2 linked regions of the Schizosaccharomyces pombe genome follow. The gene in region 1 interacts genetically with each later gene. Each region holds a gene or a part of one and is shown in the gene's direction. Other genes may lie near its edges.

Evidence for each region. A genetic interaction does not mean that the proteins touch.
Region 2: of spb70 (region 1) and rad54, a mutation in one rescues a mutant of the other (synthetic rescue), as found in Schizosaccharomyces pombe (one study listed by BioGRID).

Annotation. Positions count from the first base shown.
Region 1 is NC_003421.2:285,338-290,222, forward strand, and holds spb70 (DNA polymerase alpha B-subunit), read left to right. Parts: upstream 1-1,891; 5' UTR 1,892-2,302; coding exon 2,303-2,568; exon of another isoform or gene 2,569-2,609; coding exon 2,610-3,588; exon of another isoform or gene 3,589-3,630; coding exon 3,631-3,939; exon of another isoform or gene 3,940-3,978; coding exon 3,979-4,149; 3' UTR 4,150-4,367; downstream 4,368-4,885. Other genes in the region: GTPase Ria1, read left to right, coding at 4,575-4,670, 4,726-4,885. UniProt on the Schizosaccharomyces pombe protein: Accessory subunit of the DNA polymerase alpha complex (also known as the alpha DNA polymerase-primase complex) which plays an essential role in the initiation of DNA synthesis.
Region 2 is NC_003424.3:3,679,860-3,685,311, reverse strand, and holds rad54 (DNA repair protein), read left to right. Parts: upstream 1-2,046; 5' UTR 2,047-2,166; coding exon 2,167-4,725; 3' UTR 4,726-4,952; downstream 4,953-5,452. Other genes in the region: EF-1 alpha-binding zinc finger protein Zpr1, read left to right, coding at 211-1,590. UniProt on the Schizosaccharomyces pombe protein: Plays an essential role in homologous recombination (HR) which is a major pathway for repairing DNA double-strand breaks (DSBs), single-stranded DNA (ssDNA) gaps, and stalled or collapsed replication forks.

The DNA of each region.
Region 1 (4,885 bases):
AGCATTCGTCATATTGCGCTAGAAGGATACTCGCTCGACACGAGGTAGCTGATGTCATTTGAAAGTCATTAAACGATCGCCATTGGCGGGAACCAGTTGCGCGGAGCATGCGGGAAACCAAGGTGATTACGAAGGATGCTAAAGAGCGTAGGGATTAGGCATCGCTATTTAGTATAAAGTAAATTAATGGGTTTCACTAATACAGACAGTGATCTCGGTAGATTTGAACGTTACGTGTGTGTAAAAATGTAATATCGATCTTTGTGGTAAGCTCGCAATATTTTTTAGTGTATAGCATTCCTTGAAAATTAAGATGGATTAACTATACAAGCAGCAATTGCTTTTGAGGTATACAATCAAAAGGCCATCATCCTACCCATTTTATATGAAAGCAAATGAATAGACTGCTGACGGGGCAACACTTAAAGAGTAAAGAATAAATACAATACGTAGGGCTTGCCTATCAAGTATAGATGGTGTAATCCTTTTTTTCTTTTTCGCTTTTTGTTTTTTAGTACTTTTTCACACCTTTATTGAAACATATCTTTATTTTTTTTGATAATCATACTCTATATTTTGTTGCTTTATTTTTAGTGTCTTTTCTTCTAAGCTCTCTTTAGTAGATAAAATATCACCGATTAAAATGATTACAAAAAGTTGGGCTTTTCATTCTCTATATATACATCTGCTATATACGTATTGAGTTTGCTACCAATTCTTAATAGCCAGCCCTCTATTACCACGAAACATCTGATTCAGAAAGTCAAAATCACTTTCTTCCGTGATTAATTGTTTATCTTGCTGCTTCCGCTAAACTGTTACTTTGCAAACCTGACATTCCATAGTATCGGAAAGTTTCTAAAGCTTTTGTAAACAAGACGGTCGTTCAGCCCAGGCTTATTGCTGACGATGTTAGTTGTATTATTAAATAATTTCTTTGATGAAAAAAGAAAAACTCAAACACCATGGGAAACATTTAGTAGTGTATGAGAAGATTTGTTCTTTCACATAGCTTAATGTTCCAGTATATATTTATTGAGTTGAAAACGAAATAATTTTTAACTTAGATATTGTTTTTTTTTTTTAAATTATTGTTTGGCTTCTTATTTTTTTTATTGCATTTTATTTTATTTTGGGTTACTTTTTTTTTTTTTTAAGTTGAAAATTAAACAAATTAGCCAAAAAAAAAAGAAATCGAATATGCTGAATTGAGCTATAGGGTTGGATCCTATTAATTAGCAAAAATTCCTATAGTTTAAAAAAAAAAAAAAAAAAAAACAACGAAAAAAAAAGAGAAAAAAAGAGAAAAAATATAAAACATATTTCTACTTCACTTTGTACAATCCATATTGTCTAGTCAAGTAGTTGCAAGCCTGTTCTGTATAGCGAATGTCAACTACGCAGTTTATAATATTTAACGATACTTAGGATTGCAGTGAGTTTTCCTCGTGATCAATTATATTGCAATAAACAGGTATTTTAAGTAGCAGCTGGGTATATGTATTCTGTTATGTAGGTCTATTGTTAGTTATCACTAATGTAGCTTATAACCGAACTGAGGAACGAAGTTCAGTTGATTTCAGTTTATAGTATTTGAAAAAGTCTTTAATTGTAACTGATATTTATATTATCATAAAAGGTACTGTAGCTGTCTTTTTAACCTACCATGTAAAGTAGATAGAGCAAATAGAACATTACAACATGTGACATATAGTGATACTCGGACACATTGTAACATAGCTTAGTTTCAGCTGACAAAACAAAAAAAATACATACTACACTATTTATCAGTAAACTAATATTACATAGTAAAAGCATCTCGTTAAATGTTTAAGGAGGTTTAAAAAACACATTAAACCACATACTACTGCGTTTCTCCACAGTATCCACGGAGCGTCCCAGTATATCCGAGTTTTTATTAGAAGAGCGATTTAAGTAGTTGCTTTAAGAAGATACACTCTCCTATCCTAAAAAGGTTTACTCATAATTATTGGTGGGTACCTCTTTAAGTGGTTGAACTTTCTGCTATACGTCGTTTTTTCTATCTGTTGTTAGGTTGGAATCGCGTAAACAAATTAAAAAAAGCAACTTCGAAAATCTATCACTGGGCACTTTTGGACTGGGATTGCTAGTACGTGTACTTGTATTTTTTATTCTTATTTATTTCTTTTTCAGGACCCACATCACAGTACAAAATTAGTCACTTCAAATTAATTTGCTCGTAATATTCCCAGGTATTCATTTACTGTCTTTTTTTTTGGGTATCTTGTTTCATTTTCAACTTCATTCAATCTTCAAAAAAATGGAATTTCCTATCGATGATGAGGAATTGCTAGATGAGCGAAATAAACTTCTCCAAATTTGCAATATGGACGAGCAAACAATGTTCTACAAGTGGGAGTCCTGGTGTTTGCAACGAGGAAATACACCAAAACTCGACCTTGACACATTCAAGGCCTTTGCTAAAGACATGAAATTTCAAATGGAGAGGCAGGTAAAAGCCACACTTAAACAGAATCCTGAAAGAAAATCGATAAAGCAAATCCCGGGAATGAATATTGATAGCATGTGCGTACATTAGCAAATGGTTTTAACTAACAAATATCTAGACTAGGTCTACCAGTGAAGACCACCGCATCAGGCGACTCGTTGATGCAAGAGTCTAAACCATCTACCGAAACTTTCGAATTGAATTCCAGTGACGCTGGAAGGGTTTTGGAAGTTTTAAATAAAGAATTAAAAATTGTAACTTCAAAACCTTCAGCTCCATCCAAGCTGGTTATCGTAGCGAATTTTGATCTCAAGGCATTTAATTACAGGATCATGTATCAAAAGCTTTATGATTCTTCTGAAGTTCTGGATGATCGCATTGAGCTTTTTAGTGCATTAACTTGCAGAAAATACAACATAAGTGATGAAGATTTGGCAAATCCTAGCGAACTTACTCAAGAACCCGTTGTAGTTGTAGGACGAATTGTTGTCGAAAGTACCAATTTAGGTGGAAGACTCAACCAAAATAGCATTTTACTTGAAAGTTCAAGACGTCTAGGCGCTGGTGTTCGAGTTCGTTTGAAGGTGGATGATCTACCAAGTTACTCAATATTTCCTGGTCAAATTGTTTCAGTTAAAGGATCCAATCCTAGCGGTAACATGTTTATCGCCAAGGAAATCCTTCCTATACCTCCTTTGCCGTTCCCAAGTTCATCTAAACAGGAGCACGCTACCTTTGTTGCTAATACAAATAATCAGCCAATTTCTATATATATTGCATCTGGACCTTGGTCTCTCCGTGATGATCTCTCTTTTTCCCCTTTAAAATCAATGATTTCATATGTAAATAAAAATCCTGTTGACTTGGTTATTCTATGTGGTCCATTCTTGGATATTAATCATATACTAATACGTACCGGAAACATTACAGGAACGTCTGCGACTTCTTTGGAAGAGTTGTTTAAAGAGCGTGTCACACCCATATTAAGCCAGCTAACTTGTCCTTGTATTTTAATTCCTCACATCAATGATGCTGCTTCAGATCATCCTGCATGGCCACAGGATGCATTTAATCGGGTGGCCTTAGGTCTTCCATCTGTATGTTAAGTTGTATAATAATTTTTATTGACCAATCCATAGAACTTCAAATGCTTCCCGAATCCTTGCATGTTTTCCATTAATGATGTCGTCTTTGGTGTGTCAACCAACGATATACTCCTTCACACATCTAGAGAAGAGTTATTTCGTCTACCTTCTCATGGTAACTTATTTGCACGTTTGGTTTCTCACGTACTTCACCAAAGGCATTTTTATCCCTTATTCCCTGGAGGTTCTCTTGAAAAGTGCAACCCTTCAAACTTAGATATCGCACATCTTAAACTTGGTGAATTCCTAAATACTATGCCGGACATACTAATTTTACCAAGTGATTTACGTTATTTCGTAAAGGTATGTTAATTTTCTACTTTGTTTTAACTAATGTTATAGAACGTTGAAAACGTTGTATCATTGAATCCTGGTAAAGCGACCAAAGGGATTAATTTGGGCACTTTTGCAAAATTAACTATCGCGCCATTAGAGCTCGGGGATAATGGTTCTTCTAATCATTATTCACATCGTGTATGGCTTCGAACCAAGGCAGAAATTTTAAAACTATGATAATTATACTCTCTTTTTCTGCGGAATTTATTGAAAATATAAAAAATTCAGCGTTAAATATCATTGGTTATCATTATTTATGTAGATGTCTACCATAGACCGTTAGAATTAATTAACTTTTCAGCTTTCATTTTCTATCTATCGCTATTTTGGTTTTCTTCAAATTTTGTTTGCAAAATTACTCATATGTTTATGTTGTTAATTTAACCATTTTCCTCAAATGTCTAAGACAATCTCTGATATATCTCAAATCGCTACTCGCGAACTTTTAGTCGTTGTTTTATAGTTGAATGAGTATTCCTTTTATACTGTAGTATTTGAATGTTCAACATTTTTTCGATTTGGACTCTAGTCTTGGTGTTTCACATCTCAACCTACTTAGTCACTACAGTTGACCTCCAACATACATAGGGGAAGTAGTGCAAATGCCTGTTATTCCTCCAGAAAAGCTTGTGTCCTTACAAAAAAATCAGGAAAATATTCGTAATTTTACATTACTTGCTCATGTAGATCATGGAAAGGTATGAATTTTGCAATTTTAAACTTTTTTGAATAGTTGCTAATGATTAATTAAAGACAACCCTTGCAGACAGTTTACTAGCTTCGAATGGAATCATATCTAGCAAACTTGCTGGTACTGTTCGTTTTCTTGATTTTCGCGAAGATGAAATTACGAGAGGTATTACTATGAAGTCTAGCGCCATTTCATTGTTTTTTAAAGTTATAAGCCAAAATG
Region 2 (5,452 bases), on another chromosome or scaffold:
ATATTTTGGTTTAAAAAAGTAAAATTTTTGCATTTTACCATATTTTACTTTAGTTTTAATTTTGTTTTTCATTAAAGACAGTTTATATTGGGTCATTAAGGAAAATTTTTTCCATTCAAGTGAAGACAAATTTTATATTGGTACAAGTTATTCTGTACTTGTCCTTAAACACATCTAATCAAAATAACGCTAAAAAGAAAATTTGAGAGCATGGCGGAAGAAAAAAAGGAAGAATTGTTCACAAGTATTGGCAATGCTGCACAAAATGTGTCAACAGCTGAGGATAGGGAAGGAAATGGTGTTCAAGAAGTCGAATCGTTGTGTATGGAGTGTGGAAAAAACGGTACTACTAAATTATTGTTGACGGTCATTCCATACTTCCGTGAGGTTGTTTTAATGTCGTTTGAATGTCCTCATTGTGGGTTTAAGAATGCGCAAGTTCAACACGCTGAGACAATTCAACCGGAAGGAAGCAAAATTACTTTCCATGTTGAGGATAAGGAAGATTTAAATCGGACAGTTGTAAAGAGCCAGGAGGCTATTGTCAGTATTCCTGAAATTCAGCTAGAAATCCCGGGAAGGTTAGGCCAGTTAACTACCATTGAGGGGATTCTGAGTAATGTGGTGGATGATTTAAGTAAAGAACAAGAATCTCGTAAGGAGTCTGCTCCTCAGTTATATGACCAAATAAATGCTTTCATTGAGAAAGTGAATAGTCTACGTTCTGGATCTGTACCATTTACCATCACAGTTGACGATATTACGGGCAACAGCTGGATCGAGATGAAACCTGGCCGAGATGGTGACCGATGGTCTCAGGTTAGCTACAAGCGTACTTTGGAGCAGAATACGAAGCTGGGTCTTGTGGATACTGATCAACCTGAAGACGTCAAGACACAAACAAACAACGCTTCTAATACACTTAAACATGATGCTACTGCTGTGGAAGTCGATCCCAATGAGGTACATACCTTCCATGCAACTTGTCCCTCTTGTTCACATCAATGTGACACCCACATGAAGTTGCTTGATATTCCCCATTTCAAAGAAGTTATTATCATGTCTACTGTTTGTGATCGTTGTGGATATCGTTCCAACGAAGTAAAAACTGGTGGTGAAATTCCACCCAAAGGTCGAAAAATTACTTTAAAGGTCATGGATGCCGAGGACTTATCCCGTGATATTCTCAAATCTGAAACCGCATCTCTTAAAATTCCTGAACTTGGACTTGATTTGTTCCCAGGTACTTTGGGTGGACGATTCACAACCATTGAAGGTCTTCTAGCTCAAGTTTATGATGAGTTATATGGCCGTGTGTTTTCTCAGGAGACCGATTCTATGACTCCTGAGCAAGTCGCTAACTGGCAACAATTTCTCTGCAACTTGACGGCTGCACGTGAGGGTGCTACTCAATTCACTCTTATTTTAGATGATCCTCTTTCACAAAGTTATCTGCAGAATTATTACGCTCCCGATCCAGATCCAAATATGACTATTGAGGAGTATGAACGTTCATTCCAAGTAAATGAGGAATTGGGTCTGAACGATATGAAGACAGAAAACTATGAAAAGGATGGAGGTAAGAAGTAAAGTTCGAGGTTTTTGTCAAATGTTAGGGAATGTATTTAATATAGTAATACTATGTTTTTTTGGGGGGTTTATTGACTATGAAGATATAATAGTATAGTAGATTAGCTAATTTTTATTTCCCGTAATGTTTTTGTTAGAGACTGATGCTTTATTATTTTACTTTTAGTTTAAAATAGTTACTTGATTTATCGCAAATGTTATGAGGCTAATAATTCGAAGTATTAGTAAACCATAAAATTTGCTACAAGAAATGTTAGATAGTGAAGCTAAAATTATTACCAATAACAAACTTGTAACACATATTTAGCCGATACCAGAAATAATTGATTCATATTTCACAATTTCATTATTTGTATACCATGTTTAGTGAAGGGTAACAATGGTGCGTAATTTAAAGAACGCGACACGCTATAATAGTAATAGAATTTAATTTATATATACATCTAGATATTTCTCAACACATACCATTGGTATAAACAGCACTTTCCTTTTTTTTTTGTTTGAATCCTTATCCCTCTTTTCCTACCCTTTCTTCTATTTCAGTAATCTCTTTTTTAATAATTGCTAATATATTTAATGATTCAGCAACCAACAACTGCTAAACCTAGAATTTCTACTTCTTCAAAGTTAAATACTGTTTTATCAAAAAACAAAGAGAATGTTCCTGGAAAGTTGTTTAAAAAGTTTAAATGCCCTTCTTTAGTGATTTCAGAAAAGCGAAAAGAGCTTCCTTTACGCAAAAAGCCAAGAGTTAACTACAGCGAATATGGTTCTGTTGATGGGAAGTATGATTCAGCTTACGTATCTGAAAATGTGTCTGGGTTGGCAACCATCAAAGAAGCTAATCGATTAATACTAAATCATGAACGACGAGATCCCTCAACAGTCATTAAGAAACAGTTCTCTGTGCCTAAACCTATCAAGGGTCATGAAGATATATCTAAACTGTGTGCACATCGTCCACCTCCTACACTGGGAATGAAAAGGAAGGTGGATTTTATTCCTCGTCCCCTTTACGATCCTGCTGATGAATTTGCTATCGTTTTATATGATCCCACTACTGATGCAGATGAGATCATTCCTGATATAAAAGAGGTCTTAGCGGAAAAACGTAAAAAAGATGAATTGTTAAAAAATCGAAAAGGAAAGAAAGAAATTTCTGATAGTGAGCCTGAAAGTGACCATGATTCATGTGTCTCCACTGACACAGTGGCTAGCTGTTCTACCGAGCAAAGTCTCATAACCTCTAATACCTCAAAGCATAGAAGACCAAATAAAAGTTTGAAAGATCTACTAGGAATTCAGAAAGAAAAACCTCCACCTCCTCCTGTTGCTGTTGTCATTGATCCAAAACTTGCTCGTATTCTAAGACCTCATCAAATAGAAGGTGTCAAATTCTTGTACAAGTGTGTAACTGGAAGGATTGACCGTTGTGCAAATGGATGTATTATGGCAGATGAGATGGGACTTGGTAAGACACTTCAATGTATTGCTTTGTTATGGACCCTTTTAAAACAGTCTCCTCAGGCTGGAAAACCGACAATTGAAAAGGCAATTATAACTTGTCCTTCTTCTTTAGTCAAAAATTGGGCTAATGAACTTGTCAAATGGTTAGGAAAAGATGCTATTACTCCATTCATATTGGACGGTAAAAGCTCCAAACAGGAGTTAATCATGGCTTTGCAACAATGGGCATCCGTACATGGACGACAAGTCACACGTCCAGTGCTTATTGCCAGTTATGAAACCCTTAGAAGTTATGTTGAGCATCTCAACAACGCAGAAATTGGAATGCTTCTTTGTGACGAAGGTCATCGTCTTAAGAATAGTGATTCTTTGACTTTTACGGCATTAGACAAGCTAAACGTTCAAAGGCGTGTCATCCTTTCTGGTACCCCTATTCAAAATGATCTAAGCGAATACTTTTCGTTGTTAAATTTTGCGAATCCTGGGTTGTTAGGTTCAAGGCAAGAGTTCAGAAAAAATTATGAAATTCCAATTTTAAAAGGTCGTGATGCTGACGGAACAGAAAAAGATAAGGAGAATGGTGATGCTAAGTTAGCTGAGTTAGCCAAGATTGTCAATCGGTTTATTATTCGTCGTACGAATGATATTCTCTCCAAATATTTGCCTGTTAAATACGAACATGTTGTCTTTTGCAACCTTTCCGAATTTCAGCTTTCTTTGTACAAGCATTTTATTACCTCGCCTGAAATCAATAAAATCTTAAGGGGGACCGGCAGTCAACCACTAAAAGCTATAGGTCTGCTAAAAAAAATATGTAATCATCCTGATCTATTGAATTTAACTGAGGACTTGGAAGGTTGTGAGGCTCTATTCCCTCCAGGATTTATTCCCCGTGAGCTAAGAGGGCGCGATAGAAACATTGACTCCTCTTTATCAGGTAAAATGTTAGTGTTGGAACGAATGCTCTATCAAATAAAACAAGAGACAGACGATAAAATTGTTTTAATTAGCAATTACACCTCCACGCTTGACTTGTTTGAGCAGCTTTGTAGAGCTCGCGGTTACAAGGCTCTTCGGCTAGATGGTACTATGAATGTAAATAAACGACAACGTTTAGTTGACACATTCAATGACCCGGAAAAGGATGCTTTTGTGTTTTTATTATCTTCTAAAGCAGGTGGTTGTGGTATTAACCTTATTGGCGCTAATCGTCTTATTCTGTTTGATCCCGATTGGAATCCAGCCGCCGATCAACAAGCTTTAGCTCGAGTTTGGCGTGATGGGCAAAAGAAGGACTGCTTTGTTTACCGTTTCATAGCTACTGGAACCATCGAAGAAAAGATATTCCAAAGGCAGTCTCATAAGCAATCTTTGTCTTCTTGTGTTGTGGATGAAGCTCAAGATGTCGAAAGACATTTTTCGCTTGATAACTTAAGGCAGCTGTTTCAGCTTAACGATCACACAGTCTGTGAAACTCATGAAACATATAAATGTAAACGGTGTCGTGATGGAAAACAATTCATCCGAGCCCCAGCCATGTTATACGGTGATACTAGCACATGGAATCATTTTACAAATCCCACATTAGACCGAATAGAAGATCACTTGCTAAAACGTGAGGCAGGAAAACAGCAAGTGAGTACCGTTTTCCAATACAAATCTCATTAATTTTTACGTGTTTAATTACGCTGCTCTCTTCACAAATCCTCATATTTTCATTTAGTTTGATTTGTCTTTAAACTACTCTCACCTCTCTTTATCCCTGTTTGATTTGCTATTCGATGCATAAAACAATATCATGAATTTAATTCCGGTTTTTAAAATATAGTTTTTAATTTAATTAATATCCAACCCTCAATTGTATCCTACCAAACCTCAATTACTCCTTGGTAAGCTTTGTGACAAAATTATTACGAATTTACAGGTATGCTGAAATAAATTTTTTTTTTTAGAATGTTATATTCAATTGTTAAGAGCATATAATTTGTCATATTTTTCTGAAACATTTGAAATTGCATTTGTTAGTATTCGAACCCGTGACAGTTTTAGCACTGCTTTTCTATATTAAGATTGGGATGTCTCGAATTTTTGTTATTAACCATGTAGCTACTTTTAGGCAAACTGCATACATCTTATATGCTTTTTGTCACTCTAATAGCTTATATAAACATTGCTTATGTCTAAATACTTTGGACGTTCAAACTCGTGAATGTTCCAATATAGGTAGAAGCTTACATAACCAATTATTTATTTAAGGGTTGTTTCATTTGCAATCTTATATATTACTTCTAAATATTATATATGCATATTTACTTAACAAAAATAGTAACATTCAATAGTAGTTAGACCCGGATTATAAAGCCAATCGACAAATATCAAGTTTGCTGGCAACGGA